Linked DNA regions of Schizosaccharomyces pombe. The protein of the gene in region 1 interacts with the protein of each later gene in a pairwise test. Each region holds a gene or a part of one and is shown in the gene's direction. Other genes may lie near its edges. The genes, in order: gst1 and hom2.

Region 1 (15,596 bases):
AAATGCTGATGGAAAACCTATGCAAACAACCGAACAATTATCTTCTGCATTAGAAGGTGCCGCTGCCTCGCGAACCAAATTTGTAAGGGTGAGTCATATGACTTGTTCAATTTATTCCCCCAAAGAGAGCAATTGTCTGATGCCACCCCATTATTATTCAAAGAAGCCTATGACTATTATTGTACACCGCGTGGTTCCCATCCTCGATCCACCGGTATTTTCCAGCCGTGGAGCATGGAGTTATTGGCTGGCTTTTATGGAGCCACGGATGTTCTTAAACAAATGGCTCCTAGGCCTTTGTTGTACATAGCTGGTGAGAAGGCTGACACTCTGTATTTTTCAAAGGAAGCATATGCTGTCGCTTCCGAGCCAAAAGAGCTGTACATTGTTGAAGGGAAAACCCACGTCGACTTGTATGATTCCAAGCATCATTTCCCGAAGCTACTGGACTTTTTTGTTACGACATTAACTAGATAAGTGAAGAGATTTTTAGAGATTTAGGTGACAATTGTGGTTACGATGAAAGGATAAACTAAACTTTACAATTGAATATGCAGGGACAAAAGTTATTATACTTTCCTAACTTGAAACAAAATATTTAGCAATTCCAGATAGTCTTTAATGGCGTAACGGTAACATTATTGAAAGAAACGCCTTGGAAAGCAGCGAAGCTGATCTGTCCAGGTGTTGCTCCTTGAAGGAAGAAAAAGTCATTAGTGTAAGTTTTTTCGCCATTATTGACATACAGTTCAAGCAATCCATTGTCAACAATACCATACAAAGTTACGTTTCCATAAATGTAAATATCGTTGGCAAAAGAAGGCGTGAAAAGTGAATTAAACCATCCCATCTGAGCTTTGGCACGATTAATGACTAAAGTGCTAGCTGCAAAATCAACGTCCACGGAGATGGATTGTAATCTGTATGGATCATCAGAATCAATGATAATACGCCCCAGACAATATCCTGTTGTGCAGCCTTCTGTGTAATTGATACTGAGTGTGACATTGAACTCGAATGCGGTATTGCTTGGAAGAGTAATCGGAGAGCCCGAAAGACTACTTGAACTATTGATAACGGGTGCGGTAAATAGTGTTTCATCTCGTAAGAGAGAAACATTCAATGGGGTTTGAATGAGAGAAGTAAGGTTGGTCATGGGGTTCTGAGGAACGTCGCGAAGAGTGAATTTTCGTGCAACTGTCATAGCACTGCGGAAAACTTGAGTAGGAGCTTGGTTGGTGTATTGCCAGTTGCTAGCCCATCCAACTCCAATAACATCGGCATTGGCGGAAGACGAGTGATACAAAGCGCTGGCGTAAAAGTCCTTACCCAAGTCTACGAATCTAGTTTGGCCATCATCGGGGACGAAGTTTGTACCATTCCAATCGCCAACAAAGTATTGGACAACGGATCCTCCCAATGGAGCGCCAGGATTGATGGAGATGAAGAGTACCCATTTGTATTCATCGGTGCCTTCAACGGGCACACGAGCCATTCCAGGGCATTCATATTGCAACCCCAAATAACCAGAAGTGGAGAAAACAGATAACTCGGTCCAGTGAATCAAGTCATAGGAGGAATAAAAGGCAATTCCATAATTTTGAGACATAGCTACAATCATCACCCAACGATTAGCATCGAAATCCCATATTACCTTGGGGTCGCGGAATTGAAGTGAATTAATGTCAAGAACGGGATTTCCTGAATATTTTTTGAAAGTATATCCACCATCAGTGGTATACGCAATAGCCTGACGCTCAGCAACACCAGTCCAATGATCGGTATAAATTAAAACAATGCGCTCTTCCGGAATGGTGTCGTTGGAAAAGAGACCGGAAGAATTATGAACATCGACGACTGCACTGCCACTAAATGGGAGGGACAAAACTCCGTTTTCATGTTCATCGGGGTAGATGGCAATAGGATAATTCTCCCAATGGATTAAATCCTTGGAAACTGTGTGACCCCAATGAACTTCGCCGGCTGTTAGAGTTTTTGGTGAATATTGGAAGAACATGTGATAGACGCCGCCAGTATATACCAATCCGTTTGGATCATTCATGAAACCGGAAGAAGGAGTAAAATGAATTTTGGGACGATCGGTAGCATTGTAATATCCTGAAGGAAGATACTCGTTATAGTTACCCAAACAAGTCCCATTAGGGGCCGTTGTATTTACGAATGGAGGAGGAGGAACGGTGGTAGAATTGCTGACTTCAGTGATGTTGGAAGCATTATAAATGACAGGATAACGTTTTACATATAAGTGACGGGGAGCCGCGTTTGTAGATGATAAGAGAGAGACGAGGCAAATGCCACTAGCTAAAATATATTTCAAAAACATTGTAGCAAATCTTCAAAGTTAGCGATTATAACGTATTAATTGGTTGGTTCCAAGAAAGATTATTTACAAAAAAGACGATAATCGGTGAACAGAAAATTAAATAGGGACTATCAATAAATAGTCAAAAGTGGAGAATTGGCAGTTGTGAGTATAAAATTTAACAATCGTAAAACAAAAAAGAGACCGGCCAACAACGAAGAAGCTTGAGTCTTTTTTTTTGGTGAGAATAGATTTAATGTTTCAGCTTTTGATAGGTGTTAATTGATTTAGAGTATTCAACAAATTATCATATTCCGTTGAAAGGGAGACGAATTTCTGTAATATTCAAGCAAGCGAGCAAAGGATGAATGATCAAGAAAAACAAAATAGTTTTAGAATTTTTTTCACAACAATTAAATAATCAGTTCACTTTCTCAACAATTACACAACGAAAGTACAAACCAAGGATAGAATCAGAAAAGGTCGCAAAGAATTAGGGAATGGACGAGGAAAAAAAGTCGTTTAAAATTCGAATAACAAGAGAAGCAGGAAAAAGGAATGATTGCTTTTATCAGCAGAAAAATAGTTTCGACGAATGGATAAAGAAAAAGCGAAGAAAAAAAATAATAATAATAATTTCTTTATTTTGATTCAAAACAATTCAAGATGAAGAACCTTCAGTCAAATAGGTAATGAATTATAGCGGTTTATTTTTCTTTTCTTTTTCTTTTTCTTTTTTTCTTTTTTTTTCTTGAACGATTACTATCCGATGAAACGATGAAAGGATCTTTTAGAAAATGAACTATAGATGTTCCAACCTACAGATCACAAAGCAATAAAGACCTTAAAAACGGTAAATCTGATCGAAAGCAGTGAGTTTGAAAATTATGGATGACCAAAAAAAGCGCAGCTAACGGTACTATATATACATCCGAAATTTCCTTTCTCCATCAAATGCATAATATCTTGCTAAATATCGCACCTTGTCATGTTTCTCATTTGCGTCACTTATAGCTACACAAAAAGTCGATCATGACCTTCCGAAATTGCAGCGTATGTACTAAGGATTACGGAAGTAATGCGGAGATAAGATTCGGCAAGTTTTAGACAACGTTTGGTAACGTGTTCATTTTCGATCTAAGGTTGTGCTGACAATGTCTAAGATCGCAGTATGATGGCTAGAATGTCGATGAATTGAGCTCTCAAGATCTATCTTATATGTTCTTCTAATGTTCAATACATAAGATGTATTTTGAGACTTCAAAACTCAGTTTCATTTACTTGAAAACAATACAAAATGCAGTCTTTTCAAGCTCTGTGTCCGCAACTTAAATTCCGGTATATTGTCGCCTCCATTGACGATCTTTCTTGAGGAGAATGATGCCGACAGATATGAAAGTAATCGAGGTTTTGGGACGTCAGTCAAAACCAATAAAAGAGAAAGTAAAAGTAGAACAATGAAACTCAATCTGTTTAACAGGAGAAACTATTTAAATGGAATTGTACAGCAATAAGCTAGGCAAAGTAAAAAATGGATCGATATATCGTATTTAGGGGATGTGTTCTTATTTGCGTATTATCCAATTCGTTATAATGAAAAGGATTCTAAAGAGGAAGGAATGAAAAGGGTCCTTGCTAATGAGAAATGAAGAGTTTTACAGAATGGTGGTGCTTCTTAAAGAACAAATGATAGACAATTCTTGTGTTTTACGTCTCTTATGAGTTTTATTTTTATTATATTTTTTTATATATATTTTTTTTTCTATTTTTCTATTTTTTTGCTTCACTACTTATAGCTTTTCGTACTCTATTTTTTACTTATAATACTTACGATGGGTAAAAGTTGTATGAACCAACATGTGTATGAACCAAATGAGCCAACAATTTCTTTTTTCTTTCAATTTTTATTTGTTCATCTTAATCATTATATATACTATTCTTCTATCTCATACTATTCATCTGTCTATCCCTCCATTCAAACTTACTCCCACTACAAAATGTCATTTACAAAGAAAACCGGTTAGCGATGTCTCGTTCCAATTCGTTATATCATCTACCTAGAGGCAATTGAGGAGAATGCGTTTTTAGACAAATTTGGAAAAAGTTTTTCCTTATAGATAAATAGATTCTTGTCATCTCTGTAAAATCTTTTCCGCCATTGCACTCAGCCATACTGGTTTCTATTCTTACTTCCGTTTTCCATTTTTTCCGCTTCCCAACTAACTCATCATCCTTTCCCCCAAGGTCCGTTACATCATTTACCCCGCAACTGTGGGGTAAAAAAAAGAGCCGAATTTTCGTTTGGAATTGCGAAATTTCCTGTCTCCCACAAGAAGATCTCATAATGTTCATTTTTGGGGATAATTTAGGAATCAAATGGGCATTTATTGCTTTTCCTGCATTCTTCTTGAAAGATGGATATTTCTCTTCCTTTTGATCCGAACGGATCAAAAGTCGTGCTGTCCACATATCGTTGTATTTCCGTCTGCTAGAATGCATCATCAGCAATCTAGACGTATCTTCTTGTTCTCGACATCCTTTTCCAAAAATTTTTAATTCTGAAATCTATCAGCAACTCCCTTAAACTCAAAATATCGATTCCTTTATCTTGAGGAGCGATGGATGGGCTAGAAATTTTGATTCAATAGGTAGGTTTTTTTTTTTGCAATTGCATTAGTAACTGTTTGGAGGTAAATTGAAATAACAAGCATTACTTAAACCCTTTGCCTTTTTTTTTGAATCTTTTTTTTTAAAAGGAATCGTTTGTAGAGTACTTTGAAACTGCAGCCTTAATTCAACGTCTTCTTGACTACCTTTATTTTCCAAATTATGCGAACCTCGCTTGCATGCGACTATACAAAAAATAAGGAAACCAGTCTCGCATAAAATTAAATTTAATTTTAATCTTCAAAGCATCTCGATTTCGCGGACTAGGATCCTGGATAAATGCGTTGAAACTAAGCCGATGGGTTGTAAGAATATGGGAAAAGCTGCAATGTATCACATTGAATAGTCAATTGAAGGACATGGAGCTTTGAGCTTGTTGAATGAATAAAAGTTTTTGATGAATAAACGTTATTAGACATGATTGTATTTATCGGGTTTCGACTTTAAAAGTTCAATCAATTAATGAAAGACGTAAAAGCTGGACGTTTATTGAATAATCCAAAAAAGGTTATTTTTATATACTTTTAAAAAGAAAAAAAATAGTATTTAACGGATATAAACATGTATTGGTTCATGTACTTGCTTTACTCTGATCAAGTTGGTGTATGCTTTTTGGTTTCCATTGCTCTTTTTCTGATTATAATGCAAAATTACTCATCGTGTTTGCAGTTATGTTGAATAGCTTTAAAATTTACGTATCGTATTGTCAAGGTAGTAAATGTAAACAAAAAATTTTCATAGGGAATCATTACCAATTCGCTTACAGAAATTAAACATATTACACTCACTGTATGATGAAAAATAAAGTAGATTTCGAAATAAGATTATTAGAGTGAAGAGAATTTTAAATTGATATGTGAGAAACAAAACTCCGTCATAACTAATCTTTACAGTTGAAAATCCAATTGTGAATCCCTAGCATGTTTGAATTAATATGTGCAGTAGTCTAAAAGCAAGTTTGACACGTTGGTTTTTGAACAGGTGGTGAACAAAATAAATCTCGAGCGTATGGTTGAGACTATTTTATTATTTTTATATTAACTTTATCATAAGATGTCTATTCAACTGACTCGTAAATTCTGAAAACTACATGTCTTAAGAACCTGAAACAGTTTTAATTGCATTTGAATTTGGAATTGCATTAAGCCGACCCTTTAAGAAATTAAATATAACACTAAGCATACGTTTATTTCCCACAAGGATTATACATAGTTAAACAAAACGAGAAGTCAGTCCCCACGCACTATATGTTGGTAGAAATTTTACATGAAATTTTGATGCATTACAAGATTGATTAAATGTAGCGTGTAACCGGCTAACAGGATTCAAATGTATTAGTAAATGGAATCGGTAGTAGATTTATCTTTCTTTGATCACGTTTTGACATAAATCATAACTTCCGGCTTGTCGTCAGCTAATCGAGTAAAATTTAGTTGAATCCACGTATGAGTCTAATGTATGATCGATTAGTAAGTTGGATGAAATTGATCAACTCGATTTCGGGTGTTTTCCAAAATTTTTCATAAATATTGCATACGCAATGGAAGTAAGAATTGTATATAAAATGGTAAAGATGCTCTTTATATTTTAATCCATTGCCAAACTCCTTTCATTTAACAATAGAACACACTCAAAATAAAGTATCATGGCTCAATTCACTTTATGGTCGCATGCTCATGGTCCTAATCCATGGAAGGTGGTTCAAGCGCTGAAGGAGTTGGACCTTACCTATGAAACCAGATATGTGAATTTTTCAAAAAATGAGCAGAAATCCCCCGAACACTTAGCCTTAAACCCTAACGGTAGAGTACCTACCTTGATTGATCACCACAATAACGATTATACCATTTGGGAATCTGATGCCATTTTAATCTATTTAGCTGACAAATATGATACGGAAAGGAAGATATCTTTGCCTCGTGACCATCCTGAATACTACAAAGTTATACAATATTTATTTTTTCAAGCTTCTGGCCAAGGCATCATTTGGGGACAGGCTGGATGGTTTAGCGTCTATCATCAGGAGCTAGTCATATCTGCCATTACCCGTTATAGGAATGAAATCAAACGTGTTCTAGGAGTCCTCGAAGATATCCTTAAAGACCGTGATTATCTCGTGGCCAACCGGTTCACAATTGCTGACTTATCATTCATTTCATGGAATAACTTCCTTGAAATTATTTTTGCAGAAGGAAAGTTTTCAATCGAGGAAGAAGTGCCTCAGCTCGACTTTGAAAAAGAGTTTCCTAGAACTTATTCCTGGCATCAAAGACTTCTTGCCAGACCTGCTAGCAAGGCTACCTTCGAAGAAAGATCAAAGGCTTTGGATAATTAAGTGAATTTGTGGCGTCTATCTTGATAATAACGTTCCAATATTTCAATTGATTGATTGATTCTTTATATTTCAAAATTCATGCATTGTTTACTTTCCTTTATGCATATAGATATAGACTCAACTTTTTCGTTTCATACATCAATTGTTCAAGTGCTCTTTCAATAATATCATCTTTAAACTATGATTTTCTACTATACATTCCGAAAATATATACAAAGCAGACCATGTAACATCCATCGTATTGCTCTTGCTAAAATTGGTATTTATTGTTTGGAAAAGCCAATCATCAAAAGTAAAAAATATAAAATGAAAGAAGGGATAGCTGTAATCATGTCGAAATGACTTGAGGCGCTAATTTTATTTTATTTTTTTATTGTTACTATCTTTTTATTTTTCTTATACTACAAGACCTTTTTTATTTTTTTTTTTTAAATAATGTCGTCAATTTATTGAGAAAAGTTCAATGATTTTATTAAATTTTTAAGTAAATTATAAATATTATGTCTAAAACAAAAGCTCGAATAAATAATAATCAAATATTGTTTTCTTTATATGTTGGGCAGGCTTGTCTTATATTTTTTATTTTAATTATTCTGAATATTGTAAATAAGATGAATTCAAATACTCATGAACACAAATATAATGTAGGGTATGAAGAAGTGATTCATTATCGAATTTAGAAAGGTCCTAATATAAAAAACAAAGAGAAAATCAATATAAGCAGTCGCTGTATATTAAATTATCCAATTTGCTTAATTCAAGAGTGTTCTTATAAAGCTCAAGAATATGATAATTAGTAACAAAGCAAACTAGGCCGCCTGTATTTTGTACATGATAGTTTCAATTTTAAAGTATTAGAGCAAAATATTAAACAAGGAAACAAGCAAAAAAAAAAAACTATTAAAAAACAGATGATACCTATTTATGAAAACAATAGCGTATAATGAACATGAACGTATTGCACTAAACAAATTAGCGAGTTACAATGCCTAAAAAACACAGTCACATAACAATACTGCTTTCCATTTTGGTGTCGCAAACTATTTAACAACCAGTTTTTATTAAATCGTAAATAAACGTTGTTTTTTATTTCGTTTTTTGTTAGGACTTCCTTTAATTAAAACTACCTTAAAAAAAACAACTTCTTAGTATGGATATCTCTTAAACTTGAATTGTAGTAACGGTTGCTGTTAACTGAAATGAATAAAACGATGAAACAACATTTGATAGCCATTGTCCTTGGCCTTATCGAAGCTTATCTAGCTGCAATTTACCAGTTAGAAAAGTCAAAAATAGGCCTACAAAATTGGCAAATGCCGGTAACGATTATTTTTGCTTTGTTTCGCGAAATCTTTAGTGAACGAAAATCAAGGCTTATAATACATTTTTAGAAAGTTGCACATTTCACATACAAAATTTTTTATTTATTGCTATCCTGGTATCTATATAGTCGATGAATATTTATTATTTTTATTTTTTAAATCATTAATTGTATGGTAAACTGGGGAATTGTAATGATGTTTAACTTGTTACGATGTCTTTATTTTGTGTCTATAAACTTTTGTTCTAATGTACAACAAACTTATTAAACTGGACAAGCAAGTAATTATGCCGGGGAAATGTCTATACATAGGATTATCATATACACAGCAGCAGCTAATGTGCTAATTCATGAACGCATATGGCAATCATAAAGCGGATGTTTAATATTTGATCCTTTTCTTTTATTTTCTACGAACATTAATGAAATCATCAAATTGCCATAAGAACAAAGCAATATTATGGGGATGCCATCCAGTCAAACACACCTACTAGAGTTAAAAGAGACAGATGCTAGTACTCATTAACTGGAAAAACTTGGCTGACAAGAAAAAAGATCTTGCGGTTTTAATTTCCATCTTAATGTACAAAATGTTTTATTTAGCTTCCAAAACGTTTCTAACCATAACGGATGAAGAAATTGATTCCATTCAGAATGAATTAGCCAAAAAAAAAAACGACTATTCACTCACTACATGCAGCTTTCTTTCGAAGGGAGATATTGTCAAGAAAAAGAACAAATGCCAGGATATCAGATATAATCTGCTAAAATATAACATAATCAATCATGTAAAGTGAATGTTTTCAGGAATATTAAATACCTTCCATAGTATATTTGCTCTGAAGACATTACTCAAAGCCATCATTAGCATCAATTTTTTCAGCGGGAAGAATCTTAGTTCCTAAAAGACTCGATACCACTTTGGCTTTGGCTGTAATTTTGTTCCAGTAAGAGTCAAACCCAGCATCGGTCTCCTCCAGTTCATTGTTGGTGGGCAACGACTCTAATAACGATTTCAACTGTTCTAAATGCCTATGTGCCTTTTTAATTTTAGGATGTTGTGAATTTTCTTCTTTCAACCAAAAACACACGCGTCCATAAATTTCACCCGCCAGTAAATATTTGTTATAAGCATGCTCGAGTCCAAACAAAAATGCTTCCTCATACCCTTGCTCAATTCCCTTTAAAATTCCTTCATCATAACCACGTTTGTACTCATTTTCTTCCAATTTGGTCACTTCCTCCCAGTCCATGCGGCAGTGTCGTTTTGTAATAATTTTTGCCAAAAACTGAGAATTTGCAACTTACAGAGGATTAGCGGCTAACCTTATTAGATACAGCACAACACAGTGATATATAGTTCCTGCAGTATAATGTCAGCAATACTACACTACGCTATAATACACTACGTTGAGTATCACTATATGTCACATGTTCTAATTATATATCGTACCATGTATGATACGATATGGAGATTGATCTTAATGATAATCTATTAAGATCAATATTATCTGAATACTATAAATAGAGCTACTGCTGAACCTCGTTCCTCAGTTCAGTTATGAGCTATATTAGTGATAGGTAACATTATAACCCAGTTAATACAATACCTATACTCAGTTGCTACTTATACAACCTGTGTATTGTAATATAATAGATCACAAGGAAAACTCACCGCAGTTCTACGTATCCTTAAATCAGATACCAAACTGCGTAGCTTACATATAAAAACGAATAACAAAGAAGAATTATATCGCCCTAAATGAATTTATGGTATTCGTTTGATATCCGATATTTCTTTAATTTCAAAATCGCAGCATTGACATCTCTAGTGTAAATCTCATTTACTTTGCCTATAGCAGTCGATAATTCATATAGAACATACTTTTTTTCTTTTTTTAAATCTAAGTCTAATATTTTGTTTCAAGTACAGGAGCTAGTAAAGTATATCACATAAGTTTCAATTGGCAAGTGTTTACATTGCGAATAACTGCAGTGTTTCCTTGCTACTTTTAAACGCACAGTCTAGTTACATACAAAGATTAATTAATTTTCAAATATACACAACACTTGACTGTCCTCAATTCTTTACACTAAAACCTTATGCATGCGCGTTGAATATTGAACTACCGGAGAGCAATCTCAGAGGGCTCTGCAGCCGTCAATTGCAATATACTGAAACTAATTAAAAAAAAAAGAAAAGGGTGAAAGGTATGAAAACTTGAATATCATAAAAGATCCATAGTTGTAAAAACAACATAGAATTAGCTAAAAAAGAGAGCTATGATTAATTTTGGTTTGTGTGTACGATCTGGATGGGAATTGATCGACCACAAAAGAGAGGGGAGTATGGTTGTGAATGGGAATACGATAGAGTAGAGAAAGGTGAAAAACAAACAAACCCAAACTCACTGAAAACCAATCAGCTCAAAAAACCTTAAGTAAAGAAAAGCAAAGCATCAGAAAGCATAGGCATCAATGAAAATCAATTCGAAACTGAATCTTGCTCAAATGAATTGACCAAGATACACCAAAATATGCAGGAAGCTAAAAATTCAAAAAGCAGAGGGGAGTTGATGGGGAAGAACCCGGTGGGCCCAGGAAATAAGCTTTTGGGAACTCCGAATAAAAAAACTGGTTCACGGTATAGGAATTGCGGAATTTTTTTTTTTTTTGAAAAAGGTTGTCTAATAGAAAAAGAGAATAGAAAAGGAATAAATGAAAAGAAGGAGACCAATTCCAAAGTAAGAATTTATATCAAACAATTCATGTTCCTATGCTGCTCGTTTCCATGTTGTTTTATTTTTTTTTGGTAAACGCAATCAATCAATCAGTAACGTGACAGACACAAAAGCAAATTGGGAATTACGAATTCATAAAGCATATCCCAACGGCATTACGCCAACACTTGCAACTGTCGTTGACGGCCATCACCCCATTTACTCAGAGGTGGCCTTCTTCAAATACGTAATGACGTTGTTACGATCAGCCGGTTTCTTGAAGCCAGCAAAGGCCATCTTAGTACCGGGGATATACTTCTTGGGGTTTTCGAGGTAGGCGAAAAGAGTTTCTTCATCCCAAGTAATACCCTTATCGCGATTGGCTTCGGTGTAAGAGAAACCCTCAGCTTGACCGGTCTTACGGCCAAATACACCGTGCAAATTGGGACCGACCTTGTTGGCGCCGCCTTTTTCAACGGTATGACATTGAGCGCAACGAGTCTTGAACAGGGAAGCACCCTTCTTTTCGTCTCCAGGAGCGTAAGGCATTTTGAATTAATAAATTGCTAAGGAAAGGAAATAGGCTTAAGAGTTTAGTATTTGTAGAGAAGAAGATTTAAAAACCACAAATTCACAGCGAAGTTAGTGAGAAGATGTACGTTGAGAGTAAGTTGGGATGCGGTGGAAGTCGACCTTTAAATTTATTTTTTCGCCCTTATTTCATTGGTTCATGAGCTCTCCGCGGAATGACATGGCGAGCCAATCCAATGTTTACCTTTTTTGCGTGCGATAACCTTCGTTAAAGTAAAAACAGGATTTGGTGATGACGAGCAGACCGTATTAAACATAATTAAGGTTGTATACCGTGTCTGAAAATAAGGAAAATAGATATCGTTAGAGTGCAGTAATCGTTGGAAAACTGGAATTGGCTGATATGCAATGATTTCCGTAGGCATGCAATGCATCTTCCAAGCATGTGTGGATTGGTCTTTGGGATATGAATGGATTCTTAGAGACGGAAATCGCCAGTCAAGATGCATTGATGGGGATGCATAGCGTAGTACGAAAAATTGGGTGAAATATTGATGCAATAGGATAGATGAAAAATCGTAGACAGAGCAAGAGAGAATGAATAGATGAGACATGGGAATACACCATTGGATATTACACTCTAGTAAATACCTTTTGGTGTGTACACTTTGTTCTGCGCATATTTTTTGGTAGTTGAAAAATTCAAAGAAGCATTTGATCGCACTTTACTTAATCCTGCGAATACAAGGTTAGTGTGACATTTTAAAGAAAACAATTAAATAGGATTATGGAAATAGTAAACAGGAACTTACCTGAACATCGTTTTGTTTAGTCTATGTGTTGTCATTATTAAGCGACGATTTCTTAAATCATATAGTAATAGACAGACACTGTGTGACAATGAAACAAAGTAGAAAATAATTGGTAAGATCAAAGTATGAGAATCCCATTTATCTAGTAAATATAGTTCATTCATATGTTTCGTCTTTTATACAACCACAACAAAATGAATGGGATCTAGAAATTTTTTTCTGCAAAATGTGATTTTCTCCAAAAAGATTTTAATCCATCACAAAAGACTTTCCCATTGAAAAACAAATTTCAGATAAATCCAATAGAATCGAACAAAAAAAGTAAAAATAAATAAAACGAAACGCTTTCCCAGCCTAGTGCTTCAAGCCGCTGCTCTAAACCTGATACACACACACACACACTCACTACCAACCAACTAGCATTTCCTACATTACCTGATTTTTTCGATTTCTTTTTTCTTTCGGTAAATTGGGAAATTCGTGGTAGTTTAGATGTTTCCCTAAATACAGATATAAAAAAGATTGTCTGAGCTTATTGTTACCAGATAGGAGCAAAGGCTGATGGAATGGATAGATAGGGAAGGAAGGTGTATAAAAATATGACAGACCGATGAAAAATGCCTTATCTTGATAAACTAGACAACGAGAATGTTTGAGTATAAGAATAGTAGAGATGAAATCATTTTAAAACAAACACCCTTTGTTAGATAACATTCGTAGGAAAATTGCAATCTTTTTCCTTGTTTTTGGTATCAACATTGAAATTTAATACAATTTACTACCATATATTCGTATATTGAGAAGTAATATCTTTGTATTTCTTGATATTTTACACAAGGGTTACTTTTAAAATCTTGTCTTTGTGTTTACAAGCGTTGATTTCTAGAAACGTACAAAACGACGCTTAGGATATTTTTCGAATAGTCATACTTTTTTTTGTTTTTTTTTTTTTTTTTTCGTATACTCGTTCTACGAATATTGGCAAAATGACTGGTACGGCAAAGGTCAGTATCCCTAAAGCGCAACCTCACAAGGTGCCCTGTGTGTACTTGGCAGGAGACCTCGTGTTTAGGCCTAATGCCATTGAGCTGTTTGATGAACTCAAGGAAATCTGCAAGGACGCAGGGGTGCAAGGAGTTGCACCGTTTGATGGCCAAGAAGGTGTGGAGGAGATGGCTCCTGGAGCGGAAACGAGTTTGAAGATTGCGGAACTCGATCGGAAATTGATGGATCGTTGCGATGGAGGGATTTTCTGCCTTGATCCATTTCGACGTGCCCCAGACATGGATCCAGGCACGGCAGTGGAGCTTGGGTACATGGCCGCTCAAGGAAAACCGTTGGCCGGCTTCACGACCGATGGCCGTATGTATCCAGAAAAAGTCAGGTCGTACCGAAAACAGGCATGGGGCGACGCTTTGAAGCCTCGATTCACCAAAGGCGGTAGTGGTAGCATGGAAGATGCAGACGGCTTGATCGTACACTCTGAGGGATTCTTGCAAAACGTGATGACTGAGGGATTTATCAGAATGTCAGGAGGTTTTGTCGCCGTCGATTTTAGCATTCAAGAAGCCTTTCGAACTGCCATTAAGGATCTAGCTGCCAGATTGAACAGTCAGCATTAGCCGACCATGAGCAGTCAACACTAGCTGTCGGTCATGCGGTGGGAAGAAATGCTATATATGTCGAAATATTTATGTTGTAAAAGACCATGCTTGACTAAGAAATGTTGCGCGATTCTCATGCAAACAATAATTTATTCGCCGAAAACAAGCTTTGGCCGTTCTAACCACTTCTAATCGATAGGTGATAGAAAAGAAAACGACAGTAGTGAAAAGACGAGAAAAGTTAGAGAAATGAATGATAGGAGCTTTATTGAATCAATGTTTTTGCCAGGAATTGCGACGTCTACTAAATTATCACGCTTATTGAGCCAATGTCCTACAATACCATATACGCTATTAGATCCGTAGAGAATGAAAACACGAGTTCATTTAAAAAAAAAAAATTCAACCACACAAATAATCTATTCTTAACTATCATGTCTATTTTGTAAAGTTTGTACAAATACCCCATCTACGCTATATAGTTTTCATTATAAGCAACATATCATTTTCAAATGCATTCCGTTTGCAGCATATTCTTATCATGTTCTCATAGAGTAATCCAAGCCAAGCATCCTCCGTTTCCACTTTTCCATTCCTACTTTCATATTCCTGACTTCCTTTCTTTTGTGTTCCCGTTTGTCGCATCCCCTCCATTGGCTTTTGCCCGTCGGAAACTTGACCACGTGCCAAAAAAATTTGCGCGCTCAATTGGCCCTTTTCTTCTCATTGTATTTTTGTTTTTTAATCTTTTCCCGACATTTTTCTTCTTGCCATTCTTTCCCGACACAACCAAACGACCAAACTTGGCCGACTGACATCTCGTCTATTTGTGAACCCATTCAATTCTTGCTTTTCTATTAAGTGTACCCGATATTGGTATCAAATCCAGGGTAATCGACCTTTTCAAATTCAATTCTGTAATTTGTTTTACAAATAAAAATTTCTGTGTTGGTGTTTATTTACTTTTCCAATATCGCATGGTCACTTTTGCTAATGACTCGTTTGTCGGTGTATTGTAACTCACTTCGTTGGCTATCGTTTAATGCGTAGTAACAATTCCTCACTAGTCCATTGTTGTTGGGTGTCCCCACCATCACTCACACGTCTACCAGCCTTCCCAAGCCCACGCATCCTATCTCCTTGCTATTGCTACAATAAACGGATTCGTCCTTTTCGCGGCTTAACCTCATATCGTCAAGCTTCCTACTCCTTGGGTTTTCCATTAGGTCTACTTGTATTCTTGCATAGTTTGATAGTTGCTCGTTTTTTCGTAGCATCAAAAA
Region 2 (16,158 bases), 670 kb from region 1:
CTTTTAAATATTGAATCAGCTTAGTTCAATTCTTCGTCCAGTTTGTTGGAAGTTTCTGCTTTAATCTTCCGCATACTTATTATTACCATTCTTTGTTTTTGTCCTAATATTTCGCATCTTGTCCTTTTCTCTTTTGCTTCTTCTCGACATTCACTAGTTCGTCTGAAGTCTACATTTTTCATGCCTACTTGTTCTGCATAACTTTAACAAATCCAGATGCTTTTCTTTTACATTTTCCTTCTTTCGAAATTTTTTCACCTGGTGATATTTTGATTGCTCTCTACTTTAAGTAATTTAATCATGATCTCTATTTTTTCTACAATGCAGTCTTCGTTCATTTACAATCTAGTTTCACTAAGTGAATTGGCAGTAGATATATAGAAGCGTACTCTGCATGTTATAGGTAGCTGATGTTAGTTCCAGGAATGTAAAATCGTTATAGGAATTTGTATTGATAAAATTCTATCTTGTTAGCGTGTGAACTTAAACAATGATTGGATTACATACCTTGGTTTAAAAAATGCTGAGAAACAAACTTCAAGGGTATAATCAATTTTCAGCTGATCTTTTAAATTAACAGAACGGCAAAATTCAGGTATTTTGATTTGTGCGTGGATTGTGTTTTTTAGAGTCGGTGCCAAATTGGAATAAACAGATTTATTAGCAATTTTCCAAGTTGATTTTGCCCTTGTTTTCGTCTTAGTTTTTTGATAACGCTTCAAGTATCCGCAACTCGCGAATGTTTCTTCGGCCTGGTTCATACAATAACCACCGTAATGATTTTGAGTATTAGGGTGAAAGATATGAGTTTCCAGCAATCGTGCTTTTATATTATGAATCTTTTGAGAGTTAGCGATTAACTGTTATCTTTAGTTTAATTAATTTACTAGACTTTACCCTTCTGTGATGATTATGAGTGTAGCAAATGGTAAAATCGATGATTTGACCACTAAAAAACAAGGATCTGTCCGTATGAACCTCCAAGGTAGTTTTTGCTTCTTCTAATGAAAGATAGGGTAGGCTTTTAATGCATGAGATCGGGTTATATAGCTCCGCTATATTATTATGCATTGAAGTGATTACCCGTTTAGGAATTGTACAACGAGTACAGCGAATATTTTGATCCAGAGATGTTAAAGTCAGCGTACTAAGATGTCAGTTACTTTTTTCGGTTTAATCTTTTACCTTGAAATATAGTATAACAGTTCTAATTTCGATGAATGATAAGTACCTGGACCTATATCCAAAGGAACGATGAAGGAGAAAGGAAACCCAACTTTACAAGAACATTTAAGGAAAAGGCCCTTGTTGCCTATGCTGGCAGAAGCTGCCTTTGAGAGAATCAGTGCAGATGTCTTAAGGTTGCAAAACGAGTACTTTTCAGAGATAGAATAGAAAGGTTCTGAATGGCCTTTAAAATTCAAAATACCATAGAAATCGAGAAACATTTCCTTTATCCAAACACCGGTTTCCACGTTTTTTGCCCCTTCGTAGGATAACCAAATGTTGCCATGTAACAAGGATCCAGCTATTAAGGAAGTATCAGGAATCGTTATTGCTACTTTTATACCATCACAATTTAAAACTTGGTTTTCAAAGATTTTTTTTACTTGTAAATTAGATTTTCGAACTGGTGCATCAGCTTCAGGATAAAAAGACGATTTCCTATTCAGAATATTCGGTCGTAACACATCAGTTTTGATGGTTAATATTTCTGACTCTTCACTTAATATATAGGGATCATCAAAAGGATTTTCTATACTTGACAATGTTTTAGATGTCAATGGATCCGACAAACTGCAAGTTTCACTGTTACTAAAAAGTTCTTCTGTCATTAGCACGATATTAGGTTGTTATCAAAATGAATGTATATTTTTATTTATTGGAAATAGTTGTTGGAGAAATCTTAAACTGATATTTGCCAATGAGGTTGTTTACTCGTCAACATCATACTCGATGGTAAACATTCCAAAACAAAACGGTAACTTAGTTGGTAAAAAAACAAGCGCAAAAAGAAATATACAAAGAAATTGTAATAAAATTTTGTAAAATATAGATACTTAATGTCCACATTATTTGACTTATCCGTAAGGTCATTTGAAGATCATGATAAAAATATTACTTTTTCGTTTGCTGAACGTCGGTGTAACGGCCATAGCCTTCAACCTTCGGTTTTTCGTAATCAGTCTTGGTCATAAGCATATTCATTCTTTCTTTTATACTCATAGGTTTTTCGGGAATTACATCGCCCTGCTCAGCGTTTGGATTCGTATGCTCTTTTTCGGGTTTAGAGACACGTCGTGCATTCACAGCAATAGACATACTGGCACGTCTTCCCACCACACCTCGTTCTGTGGCCATATTGGTTGGAGGTACACTTTTGCTTTCTACCTCGCCTAGCCCAACTGGAGCATTGGAACTTTGAAGACTAGAGGGTGTAGGCGCAGATATATTGTTTTGTGGGTTTTCCACAGATTTTAAGTTTACAGGTTTTGGGACAGGAGCGGGAGCAGCAGCTACCTTGTTTAAACTTGATGTATGGTTGTACCTATCAACCAAACGGTTAACACTAGTCCTTGGCTTTCCCGAAGCATTACTAGCTGAAAGAGGTTCACTTTCTATAATATTTGATTCTTGACTATCAAAAGATTTAACATCACCAGTAAAGACAGCTTCGTTTGTAGGAACAGTTTCTTTAGCCGTAGATGAAAACATATCGTCAGCCAGAGCTAATGTGCTTAAACGAGGAGTCGTAGGAGATATTTTAGGTTTTGGCTGGACGGGTGGAGGTGGTCCATAAGTATGACTAGGTGGTGCACCTTGGGTAACTCGGAAGTTGCTAGGTAATTTTTGAGTAGAAGGTACATTTGAAGTATGTTGACCGTACGAAAACCTTGAGACAGGAGAAGAAGTGTTTCCATTATTATTATGATCTCCGTTAGAAAGATAAGGCATCGAGTTTACATTGGGTAACATCGGAGAAGCCATTGGCTTCATAGCAGAAGCAGGCTGAGGGAACACGGATGATTTACTCTGGTGAATTCCACTGTTTTCTAACTTGGAAGCATGTTGCAGATATTCGGAACCAGAAGGATTGCAGCTGGATACATTTTTACCGTTGTATATGTCGTAGATATGTATAGGAACATTACGCATCTTACAAATCTCACAAAAGGTTTGGTAGATATTAGGACGTTGCCAAGGATATTGCTGCAATAAGGTTGAAATTAGTCGCTTTAACCGATCTGAATAAGGTGGAAAGGTTGGAAAAGCGTAACTAACATTCATAATAGCAGCAAGCCCTTGATGTTCAAACGGAGTTGTGTAATAGCATAGTTTATAGAACAAAACCCCTAGCGCCCAGATATCTAAAAGCTAGTGTTAACGAAATATATTCTAATAACGTTACAAAGAAACCATACCACTTTTCTCGTCTATCCCAAATCCTTTATGGACATTAATCATTTCAGGGCATCTATATTGCCAAGTAGTAAATTTTTCGATATCATATTCTAGCTGTTTGGCCTCAGCGGCCGTTTTAGCACCCGGTATTGGGTGACATGCACTACCAAAATCACACAGCTTGTACGAATTTGGGGCAGCTAGTAACACGTTTTCAATCTTGAGATCTCTATGAATTAACGGAGGCTTCAAGTAATGCATTACTGCAACCGCTTCAGTAACATCAGAAGCTATTTTCAAAATTTCTTGTTCTGATAAACGAACTTGAAGTCTAGTGTTCAGAAAGTCAATCAAGCCTCCACAAGGGCAATACTCCAATAGTACAAGGACCTCGAATTGATTTTTTGATGTCCTAAAAAATTCCGAGCCATAATATGAGACACACCGTTTTTGGTTGCTAACAAGTTTCTAAAGACAAGTCGTTAGTTTATAGTAAAAAATTGGAGAGCAACAAAATACAGGATAGAAGGACATACCATAGTCCGTACTTCTTCGTGCACAGCTCGAAGGGCCATAGCATCCGTTGCAAAGATACGTTTCAAAACTGCCTCAAACGGTGGCTTTCCTGGGAAGACCAATTGTACCAAATATACATGAGAGAAGCCGCCTAAAGATACGCTGTTAACATTTGGAAGCTGATGATTTTACATACCTTCAGCAAGGTATCGTTTTACTGTAACCGAAAACTTTTCCACCGTACAACTAAAACCAACAGGCAGAAGACCTGAAGGTAAAGAAGATACTGGAAGCAATGAAGTGTTGTTTGTTTCATTCATTGCAAAAGAAAGTCTGCTGCAACCAGATTTACTCAATGTAAATTTGGTGGTTTAGGAGCGGAACGTGGGTTAGGATATATAATATATAAGTGAAACAGGTGATATTCAATTATTGGCCTTTACTGAATTATTCCTTTGTATAAATTGATACATTCGATAGCCTTCATATGATAGAAAAAGAAATGCATCCAAGCGAGTTCGATTGCATTATTGACAGATGAAGCTGAGTTCAAAAAATAAATACTATGGAAGACAAGACTAGACAAGCATTATTTAAGTTAAAAATTATAGTTATGTTTTCATTTAAGTTTCTTAGTTCTCTCTTCTAATAGTGAATACATGATGGAGTAATTTGTTGCTTCAGGGACTGCAGAAAGACTTATAAAAGGCTGCATTACGGACCACTATGATAGCTAAAGGAAAATTTAAATAGACGAACTCCGTCAAATGTTAACTTAAAAATCTAGTAGTTCATTACATTAGCAAAATTCCTGTCCTTCAAATGCATTGACGACTAACTCCAATAAACACAGCTATCATCCATTGTGAGGATTGGAACAGAAGATACTACCATTAGATTATCTACTTTTAAACAATTAATCTTATGAATTGAAGTAAAGTAAGACAGACCTCCAACTCGCTATCGCTTATATCATAATTAGCATAATTAGATCGCATCGATCAGTTAATCGTGATTTTTCTAAAGTTTGAGGAAAAATAAACAAAAAAAAGTGAAATAATTACAATACATATGTTAAAGCGCATTTTCCCCAATAATGGCCCTACTTAACTTTTTTTGTGGCATCCATTAACAATTGCCTCTTAATATTAACCACGAGATCACAAGAATTAAACCGAGAATTCACGATACTTAAACATTGTTAAATGAAAATATAAATCCCTTGGAACCACTAAATTTACCTTTTTTGCAGATACCACTTGGTGTACTTATCTTAATAAGGGCAACTAGAACCAACATTCTATCTAAAGCAAAGTAACCAGAAAACATTCCTAAATTTTATACATGCTTTAAATTTCTTAATTTTGATATATATTTCGATATCAAGAATTTTGAATGCTTTAAAGTCGTTTGAAGGATATTGCCTTTTAATTTTTGCAAAAAAGAGTTTCCTAAGTCAATATATATATATATACATATATTCTTTCTTTTATGTAATTAATTTTAAAAATTATTTGAACATGAAATTCGGAAAGTAAGGATTTTTTGAAAGTTCTGAAGCTTACTAACTGTACAGGGTTATCGAAGGACAATCTGTTGCAGGTATGCTAGTTTGTAGTTGAAAAATAATTGACGTTCGGATATGCTAATTCGAGTAGAATGGGCTTCTGCTTATTTTGACTACAAAAAGGGGAAAAAAATAATCGCAGGCATTGCAAAGAATCCTTCTGAGGGTCTGTATGGTACTTCAGGGATTTTGGGAGAAACACCTGAAGAAGCCATTGTAAAGTAAGTTTTATTTAATTTGCACTATTGACTAATAAAACAGACGAGGTACGTTTTTTGACATCTCTAAAAAATGCATTTCTAACTGCTTTTGACCTAGGGCAAATTCATCGGTTTCATCCCCTTTTTCAAGAGTTTCTTGACCAACAAGCAAACAAGGTGGAAGAATTTTTTGAAAATTTGGTGTCTGATGCGCGAGAAAGAATGGATCTTATTAGCGATCAGGTCGATATATATGAAAAGCTTCGTGCATTCAAAAAGGGGACCCTTGAATCGGGATCTGTTGTATTAATACAGAAACAGCACTCTAAACTCAGACAAAGGCTTGATTCAATCCTCAATTTTTCTCGACTTCAACCTGCTTATCATATCCCAGCTAGGAAGAGTGTCCCAACTGATGCTTATACTCCGATGGTCAGTTATCGCAAACTGAAATCTAAATTGAAAACGGTATGCCTCAGTGCTTTTTTCCTTCATAGTATAGATGTTTGTAAATTTGCTAATTGTTTCAACTAGACATTGCTGGACTTTTATGATTATCTCAAATTGGTTTCTCAGTACCAGCATCTTAATCAACAAGCCTTTCGAAAGATTGTCAAAAAGTATGATAAAACATTACATACAGATCTTCAGGGCTTTTGGGTTGATTATATGAGCAGATATACGTTCACAGATTTCAGCATCACTACAAATTGGCAATTGCATGTTGAAGACATATATGCTCGTCTTTTTACCAATCATAACAAGAAGCTTGCTTTAGAGCATCTTAAGTCATTTCGTCAAAAAGAGGTAAGTATAATTCAGTTGCATCTGGACTTTACGTTATACTCTAATTACTAACTTGGGTTATTTAGCACTTTTCTGCAAACTCGATGCGATTTGGACTCTTGTTTGGTGCAGGTTTACCGTTGGCTATAGAGGCTGCTTGCTATTATAATGCTACTGAGCAATCCTCCTACCTTCTTCAGATATGGGGAGGTTTTTTTTTAGTAATTTTTGCGTTCGTACTGTTTGATTTAGACTGTTACGTGTGGGAGAAGACACGGGTTAACTACATGCTTATTTTCGAATTTAATCAAAGAAAATCTTTAAACTGGCGTCAGCATTTGGAGATCGTAGGAGCAGTCTTCTTTATTTTTTCGCTGTTCTTTTTCCTGTGTATGAGAAATTTCTTTCCTGGCTTCACAATATATTTTCCGGCCCTGTTTTTGGGAGTAGTGGGCACGTTTTTAATAGCCCCCGTCATTGTTCCCTATTGGAGAATGCGAAGATACTTGATAATTCAGCTTATCCGTGTGTTTTTATCTGGGCTTTCTACTGTCCATTTTCAGGATTTCTTTTTTGCTGATCAAATGGTTAGTCTAACTTATGCATGCGGTAATATATCTTTGTTCTTTTGCCTTTATAAGCGACTTTGGCGACAACCACAGCTTTGTAACTCATCACATTCTCCCTTGCTAGGTTTCTTTACCACATTGCCTGGCATCTTACGTGTTTTTCAATGTTTCCGAAGATATTCAGATTCGTTGAAAAGCTTTCCACATCTTGTGAATGCTCTAAAATATATTTTTAATATCCTCGCCCAAATGTTTTTAAGTCTGTGGAGGATTCATCCCGGCTTGAAATATCGGGTTTTGTATACTATTTTTGCTGGCGTAAATTCACTTTTTTCTTATACGTGGGATATTTTGATGGATTGGAACCTTTTGGTTCGAAAGGATGGTCGTTGGCAATTCCGTGAGCATCGAATTCTAAAACAGTTGTGGCCGTATATTATAGCTATGATCTTAAATTTTATCGTTAGAAGCTCTTTTATATTCTATTGCATATTTCCCAACCACATTCAGCACTCTTCAGGGATTAGTTTTTTTGTGACCCTTGCTGAGATCATGCGGCGTTGTATGTGGAACATCCTTCGTGTGGAGCACGAAGAAATCTATAATAGGGTAAGTTCGCTGGTTTGTGTTTACTTTTATTTATTTTTATTTGATTCAAATCGTCGCATACTAATTTCATTATAGGAAAATTTGCGGGCCGCTAGAGAACTTAAGCCTTTGGATTTTGTTAAGCCACATAGTGATGTCTTCGTTTCTCATCAAATATCTTCTGATAAGAATTATACAGATGATGAAGATTCGATGGATGATCAAACAGATGTGGATGAAGCTCAGTTTTCTTAGATAGAACGTGAAAGTACAAGTTATTTTTTTCTTTAGTTGTATTTTTTTTATTATTCTTATCGGTATTGGGTGTTTGCTCCGATGATATTAATGCTGTTTTATTGTGTTTTTATGCATTAAAAGTATTCCTCATTTGGAGTATGGTATCGCTGTTTTCTTCTGACAAATGCGAAGATATTTCTCAGAAGTTTCTACGAACCTCATTTTAATTTTATTATGACATATGGATATGAGAAGGGGGACTTTAGTGTTTACGAACAAATGTGATGAATGAAGCTTAATGATTTAATGAGTAAAATTATAATAATGATATTTATCTTTCACAAAATGAATGAATCCTTTTAAGTGTGCTGTAAATTTTAAGCGATGATCAAAGAAGTCAGTTAATTTACTCAGTCAGGAACAGAATGTGCGGTGAAATAGATTGATTCAATGCGTGTCTGGAGACAGAGAATCGGATTGATCATTAATGTCTTGATGTATCAACCAATGACCGGAATACTTAAAGTCCTTTAACTAATCTCAAATACATCTCATAGCTACTCGTAAAAAAATTGTTGCAATAATAATAGCCAAGTATACTTACGAGCTAATTTTTCATTATCAAAACAGAAAAGACCGGTCATATAAAAGTATTATCCATTGTTTATTAAATTGTCTTTCATCATTCTCAGTACTAAATCTAAATTGCAAAAGAATCAATGAGACTACATCCATCCTTTCTATATTTGCTTGACACTACTAAATTTACTTCCAAGTTATAATGGACGTAAAATGACTACATCTGATCAAGTCCCAGATTAACTGTTCCTTTACATTACTCTTATAGATTAGATAAAAGAAAGCTTATTTTAGAACTTGTATTTTACAACTAATTGTTTACTTCATCTGCCTTACTTTGGTACAAAACGGATGCTGCTTGTTTTGGCAATTTGTTTAAAGAATTCACTATTTTACGGTACGCGGAAATACTTTAGACTTCACTATCTCGATTAGAAAAGATCTGATGCGATACGATATAAGATATTTTTTTTTAAATTGCTTGTCAATGAAGGAATTTACCAAGAACACGTAACCTTCGTTTTCTTGATTAAAAACAATGGCTATAAAAAAAGTTGGAATCCTCGGTGCAACAGGTATGTTTAAATTTAGAATGGTAATGTTCTGTCAAAACTGCAAACGATTGCTCTATGTACATTAAAAAATGCATAAAGTTAAAGGATTGACTGTTACAAAATAATTTGTGTTTACTTTTTAGGTTCCTTGTTTAATTGGTCTACATTTTAATTGTACACTTTTTGAATTAAATTGCCTGGAAAGACTCACATTTTATCATTTTAATTCCATGTCTTTAGTACTATAAGTTTTTGATGAACATTAAATTTTCAGTTCCGTGTCACTGACTAGTGTTTTTGGATACACATGACTAACCATAAATAGGCACCGTTGGACAGCGTTTCATTACCCTCCTTTCCGATCATCCTGAGTTTAAGATCGCTGTTCTTGGCGCTTCTGCTCGTTCTGCGGGAAAACCATATGCAGTTGCTACTAAATGGAAACAATCTATTGCAATGCCTAAAGAGATTTCCCAAATGAGTGTAAAGGCTTGTGATCCCAAGGAGTTTTCGGAATGCGATATTGTGTTTAGCGGCTTAGATGCTGACTTTGCTGGCGAAATTGAAAAAAGTTTTCGTGATGCTAATTTAGTCATCGTTTCGAATGCTAAAAACTATCGTCGTGAGCCTACCGTGCCACTTGTTGTCCCCACCGTCAACACAGATCATTTGGACGTTATCAAGTACCAGCGTCAAGAAAACAAACTGGATCGTGGATGCATTATCACTAACTCTAACTGTTCTACTGCTGCTGTTGTAGTACCTTTGAAAGCTCTACAAGATGCTTTTGGTCCTATCGCTCAAACAAATGTAGTTAGTATGCAAGCTATTTCTGGTGCTGGATACCCTGGTGTTTCCAGTCTTGACATTTTGGATAACATCGTTCCATTTATTGGCGGTGAAGAAGAAAAAATTGAATGGGAGACACGTAAAATCTTGGGCTCTGTCAATAGCACAATTTCTGGATATGAGTTGACTGATAACGTTGTTTCTGCTCAGTGCAATCGTGTTCCTGTTATTGATGGCCATTTGATGTGTATTTCTGTGAAGTTTGCCAAGACCTCTCCTACTCCTGATCAAGTTCGCGAAGTATTGGCAAACTATGTTTCTGAACCTCAAAAGTTAGGCTGCTACAGTGCCCCTAAACAAGCCATTTATGTTTTCGATGATTCTACTCCTGACCGCCCTCAACCTAGACTCGATCGTAACAATGAAAATGGTTATGCAGTATCAGTTGGTCGTATCAGATCTGATTCCATCTTTGATATTAAATTTGTCTCCCTCGTCCATAACACAGTTTTGGGTGCTGCTGGTGCTGGTATTTTGAATGCTGAAGTTGCGGTGAAGAAGGGACTTATGTAAACAACGAATTTCCTGTTCTTGTTATAACTCTTCTCTCTCAAAATTTGCCACGGATTTTTCGATACCTTAAAAGTTGGAATTAGGTTTTGAATAAAGAAAAACTTTGTTAATATATTTCATTTTTGCTGTTATTTTACCTTGCCAGTGATATAATTAGAGGACTGCCTCTATTAATCAAGTTTCTTGTGCTTGCGAACCAAAACGGAAGCCTTCAAAAGATTTGTATTCCTTGTAATTGAATAATACTATCGATAATTCTAATATTTGAAGTAAGTCATTTTCTACTTTTTCCCATTTTAAATGAATAACGAATTTTAACACCAATTTGTAAAAATTTAGCGTAGATTAAAAAATTTTTTGAATATTTAACGCAAATTCAAATTCTACCATGTCTAGCTTAAGGAAATGTATAACAACTTGTAATTTAGGCATCTGGCCGTTTTTGACACTGGAAAAATTCAGTTCAATACCTATACTTTTATAAAACATTATGTCGAAGGCAAAGAGCCCTATAAAGTCTTCGAAAAGTAAGTGATAGGAATAATATCACTATTGTATGGTTTTTAACTCAATTGATTTTAGAATCGGTGAATCAACCGAAATCGGTTCTTCGTGAGAAGAAAGTCAAAGATGCTGAAAAAGCCGAGCATATATCATTACAAGGTCATGTAGATAACTCTGATGAAGAAGGACAAGATAAAGAGTTTTTTCCTGGTTTCGGTTCTTCAGATGATGATGAAGAAGACTCTCCAAATGCGCTAGTTAATACCTCAAGGCAAATTATGGATTTGGGCGAAGATGCTGAGAAAACCATAAAGAAAAAGGTTTCTGAAAATAAGAATCTTCAAAAGAAAAAAGGTGTTTTGTATGTTGGCCGACTTCCTCATGGATTTTATGAGAAACAGATGCGTATGTATTTTTCTCAATTTGGTCCTGTGCTACGTCTTCGCATGTCTCGCAATAGAAAGGTATGGTAACATTTATTATCTACAGCGGACTATTTTAGTTCTTCTTTTTATTTTCGACTGCTAACTTTTTGCATTAGACAGGAAGTAGTAAGCATTATGCTTTCATCGAGTTTGAATCGTTAGACGTTGCCAATGTCGTTGCTGAGACAATGCATAATTATCTTTTATATGGAAAGCTTTTACAATGTAAGGTTATTCCTGAAGACCAGGTTCATGAAAACATGTTTAAAGGCGCCGACGTTCCTTTTAAACGCATCCCTCATGCCACAATAGCGCGTCTTCAGCATGAAAAACCATTAAGCAAGGAGAAAGCGGATAAGTTAATTACTCGCCATAATCGGAAGCTTAAACTCAAAAAGCGCAAGCTCAAAGAATTGGGGATTACTTTGGAATCGGATGTATCTCATCCCAAGGCGGCTAGTCCAGTTGCTTCGAAAAAATCTAGCAAAAAGAAGAACAAAAAGGTTTTGGCTGCTCACAAATAAATAAATACGGGGTTTTAGAGTAATAACAATAATATTTGGAATATCTTATTATTATGCATAATAGAATTGTGAATAACGTATACTAAGATTAATATTTTTACAATATTCCTTTTGTTGTCTTTTTCTAGTAAAGTATTTTTTAATTTAAAATAACTATGCTTCTCATTTTGTTTGCATTCTTTTCATGGCAGCTGCAGCCCTTTTTTCACGTTCAATTCGCATTCTCATTTCTGGACTTAATGATTGCAATTCGTCAACTTTTCGAACATTATTAATTCCTAATGAATGACCTTCGCCGTGCAGTTTATCATAATCCCTTTTCGATTGTTCTTCAATTTTCTGCATCGCTTCCTTCCGTCTAAGTTCTTCTTGCCTCTCTTTATCCCTTCTTTGATTTTCTAATTTGGTCTTTGCCTTTTGGCGTTGTTTCTGAATTTGTTCTCTAGACTGAGGAGCCCCAACTTTAGCTGCTTCCCAGTCGAAAAATGACTCTCCCAACTCATGCCTTGCAATTAGAAACTCATCTTTAACCTCTTTGTTTCCAGTACTAATCTCAAAAGGTGTCTTTCCGTTCCCATTTAGCATTGCTGGATCAGCACCATTACGGAGAAGTTTAGCGACTAATTTAGCATTTTTTTGGGTAACTGCGTAATGCAACGGTGTAGATGTGTGCAAATGAACATTTTTAGGATAAAATTGAAAATTTATAGACAAATCATTAGAGCGCAAATATTCCAAAAATGCTTCAATATTAGACGCTTTCAAATTGGAGATAATTACTTCGGTATATTTAGCAAGCTTTTTCTTTTTCCTCTCTTCCTCTTGTAATCTGCTTTGTCTAATTTCCTTTTCAATTTCGGCTTGTCTCTTTCGTTCTTCTTCTTGAGCTTTTATCGAAATTGAATCAACGTGACTAATTTTCGGAGTAACCAACTCTTTGTAACAACGAAGTAATTCTGAATGTGTGGCTCGTTTAGTAGTAAATGGAAATACGCGGAGTTTTGGATCTTTTGGAGAAATAAGAGCACCTGGTTGAGAGAAGAAAATTGAACGATTAGATGAACCGATTGCACGTACAAAGATTAAATCGCATGTTTCTAATAATTTTCCCCAGTCTTTAAAAACTTGCTGAATATCTTTAATAAGAGCTTGTTCGTTATAACGTCGCAAACCACTACCTGCCGAGTGAATGTTCCCTTTAGTATTGTCAGCAGCCCCTTGAGAACCACCTTGCTTCCTTCTAGTTGTATATCTGTGAATAGTTTTCTGTGCTAGTACTTTGGGTACATGGGGATCACGAGGATTAAACTCATTAGAAGCAATCATAGCAGCAAAATGACCGCCTCCAACCATAAACATAGCTAGTTGAAGTGGCTTTTGTCGGTTATGATTTTGTTGTTGAACAAGTAAATCTTTAGTGATATGGTTATTACCGGAAAACATGTGTTTATATACACCAATATAGGTTGGCACTTCGGCAGAAGCATTACTCAATTGAAACCACGTTAATGGTGAGTTTGTTCGCTGATTGTTGTTTTCGTCAGCGGAGTCAACTTTTCCTATGTTCAAGGATTGTTTAAAAGCCTTCTCTATTTGGAAATTATCTTCTTCGGATTCTGAGTTTGTCTCGCTTTCACTGCCAGACAGTGATTCTGGTAAATCTTCAATTATGCTTTCAAATTCGTCTTGAGAAACCGGAGGCAATTTTGTAATTTTTCGCTTCGTATTGAACCTATGCCAGTCAGATTTAATATGACTTTTTCTTTCGTCCAGAGTATGCAGATTGTCAATCTGGCAATTGACACATGATGATATATTTTTCTGAGTGGAATCAACAATATCGCCTTGGTTTGACAAATTAGCACTATCAGTTTTTTCCTCAACTGAGTATTCCTCTCGTAGTTCTAGTTTTGCTAAGATATCCTCAGGAAGGGAAAAAATATTGTGCTTCGAAATATCACCCATGTTTCGAAGAAGACAAGTAATTAGCAAGATCTAAAAATAATGTAAGCATTACAAAATATGCAATAATTTTCAGTAGAATTTCAATCTAGCAATTAGCGTACTTATACTCAAAAACGAACTTTAATAAGGATTAAGTAATTTGACCACAAGATGCAGGTAGTTTGCTTTTAATTTACAATTTTTTCTTGAAATTAAAAGAAGAAAAAGGTTATTTTCATGTAAATTAAGACTTTAAAGCCTTTTGGCCACAAAAATGAATTAAAAAAAAATAAGGCTGTAGACAATATAGGTAAGAGGATTAATTAGGTAAGAGCAAACAGTCAATCAAAAATCAAATTTATGTAATTTTTTTACTTAGTGGTATATACTTGCGTTTATTATTTAACTAATATAGTCCAAAATTTAATATTTGAGAAAAAGCTGTCGTTAACAGTGAAAAATCTATGAATTTTAAATTGAATGTAAATATAAAATCGAAAATAACATTTGTATAATGTTGGTGATTGTAATAATATTTATTTAAATTAATAGTGCAAAAATTATGCTACTGCTTTAGCTAATTCAAAACTATATTAGATGCAGTCGCAATTTGTATATATTCCTTTTCGTATTAAAAAATAAATACCAAAAATTAATTCGTCACTTGAAATTTGACTGAGCATGATTGTTTAATATTATTTTTGTAAAAAAAAAAAAAAAAAAAAAAAAAAAAATTTTATTATCTTGAGAATAATATGCCTTCAAGCAAACCACCAAATTTAAGACATCAAATTGAGGAAAGAATTTTACGTATGTATATATAATAAATTTTTTAAGAAAAAGGAATTTTAATCTTTGCAGTGAATACTAATAATTATTTAGATGATATAATCCACATATTTTGCAGGTATTGTTTCGCATATGCTCACGCTACTAATTTATGAATCAATGGGAGATAGCGGGAAATATGAAGTGCGAATTAGTTTAAAAAAAGAGAAGATTTAATTCAGTGTTCAAGGCGTTGATGAATGCAACAAACCAGTATAATTTCCTAAAATCAGTAGCAATATCGGACGTATCAGAGATAGACCATGTGAATTTGAGGCGACAAACCACCCGTTTAATTTCAACGTAAAAATCCCTATAACTTCAAACATCGTTTGCAATGTTCTGTTTAATCATTGTAAACTTTACTGTGGATTACTTTATCAAGTGACATTGACATTGTAATCTCGCATAAATTTTTTAACATTTACCTAGCCGACGAATTTAAGGAACATGTCCTTTTCCATAAAAAAAGTTTAAAAGAACCCGAAATAGGAATATTTTGATTCAGCATCAACGGTTTTTACTCAGGGAAGTTCAATATTTAGGATTCCCTTATTATACTTACTTTACTTGAGGGATTCGTTGTCAAATAATAATTCTTTCTCGACCGTTTCTATTTGGGAAATATTAACAAAAGCACTAACACATTTCAAACATATAGCTCTCGATTTAAAAAAAAAACTACTTCAATTAATTTATATTTATATTCATCCAGTAAAAAACTTGATACTTGGTACAATGCTGAAATGATTCCATTACAACTAAACTGGATGAATCCCTTTTAGATTGAGAACGGAGAGACCTGTCTGTATATTCCAGCGTCCTTTAATTAAGTAGATAATTAAGTGCAAGCAATTTTTTCAATCTGCTGTAAAGCACTATTTACATTAATTTTAAAAATTGACAAATGGAAAGTATCGAAGCATTTGCAAGCATGCAAATGCGATCGATTTAAACTAATATAAGTCAAGTTTATGAAGAATAATTTATACATAATAGCGAAATTAATGATTAAAAGAGATAATGAATAACTTTCTCAATTGAAACGCTTAGTTTTGTGAAATTCAGAAAAACAGAAATTTAATTCTACCAACTTAGTTTTTTTTCTTGGAGGTGCTTTAGTATTATACCTTTGAGTCATTTCCGTTGAATTCATTTAATTTGCAAAAGATAGGAAGAATCACTAATGTAGACAAATCAATTCCATTAGTAATGAATTCGATTCGATGCAACCACCATAAATGCCATTCTTCATTCATCAATATTTTTTAACTAATTTCTATAAAAGTCCAGAATAAGGAATCCATATTTTTCTTGTTATACTCTTACCGTAAATTTCGTTACTACCACCTCCCTTTGAATACCGGATAAATCATTGCGTTCGCGCCTAGATCTGTTGCGCAATTTAGGGGATCTAATTTGCAATCGGGTCTAGTACTGTATTCTTGATTTCTTCAACTTAACAAAAACTTACCTTCATTAAAAGAAGAATATTTTAGTTGGTTCATTGTACGTTATTTTAATGAAGCAATAAAAGATTTAATCACTTAATTCAACACTCACTTTACATTTG

The links.
Region 2: the proteins of gst1 (region 1) and hom2 interact in a two-hybrid assay, tested with the Schizosaccharomyces pombe proteins (one large-scale study listed by BioGRID).

Annotation. Positions count from the first base shown.
Region 1 is NC_003421.2:1,711,054-1,726,649, reverse strand, and holds gst1 (glutathione S-transferase Gst1), read left to right. Parts: upstream 1-6,579; 5' UTR 6,580-6,635; coding exon 6,636-7,325; 3' UTR 7,326-7,507; downstream 7,508-15,596. Other genes in the region: external invertase, beta-fructofuranosidase Inv1, read right to left, coding at 599-2,344; SPOM_SPCC191.10 (uncharacterized protein), read right to left, coding at 4,373-4,822; ribosome biogenesis protein Lto1, read right to left, coding at 9,495-9,899; cyc1 (cytochrome c), read right to left, coding at 11,586-11,915; SPOM_SPCC191.06 (uncharacterized protein), read right to left, coding at 12,095-12,511; SPOM_SPCC191.05C (nucleoside 2-deoxyribosyltransferase), read left to right, coding at 13,696-14,331; SPOM_SPCC191.04C (uncharacterized protein), read left to right, coding at 14,826-15,128; SPOM_SPCC191.03C (uncharacterized protein), read left to right, coding at 15,356-15,596. UniProt on the Schizosaccharomyces pombe protein: Involved in the oxidative stress response and detoxification.
Region 2 is NC_003421.2:2,380,352-2,396,509, reverse strand, and holds hom2 (aspartate semialdehyde dehydrogenase), read left to right. Parts: upstream 1-8,946; 5' UTR 8,947-8,982; coding exon 8,983-9,019; intron 9,020-9,221; exon of another isoform or gene 9,222-9,323; coding exon 9,324-10,360; 3' UTR 10,361-10,491; downstream 10,492-16,158. Other genes in the region: arrestin family membrane adaptor Mug170, read right to left, coding at 414-462, 508-839, 898-1,147, 1,186-1,835; Ark1/Prk1 family protein kinase Ppk38, read right to left, coding at 2,119-3,368, 3,423-3,870, 3,939-4,069, 4,115-4,238; spx2 (SPX/EXS domain-containing protein), read left to right, coding at 5,439-5,452, 5,495-5,520, 5,577-5,706, 5,747-5,751, 5,804-6,153, 6,220-6,492, 6,558-7,649, 7,725-7,883; SPOM_SPCC1827.05C (RNA-binding protein NIFK), read left to right, coding at 10,851-10,887, 10,943-11,328, 11,406-11,813; protein Vms1, read right to left, coding at 11,976-13,778. UniProt on the Schizosaccharomyces pombe protein: Catalyzes the NADPH-dependent formation of L-aspartate 4-semialdehyde (L-ASA) by the reductive dephosphorylation of 4-phospho-L-aspartate.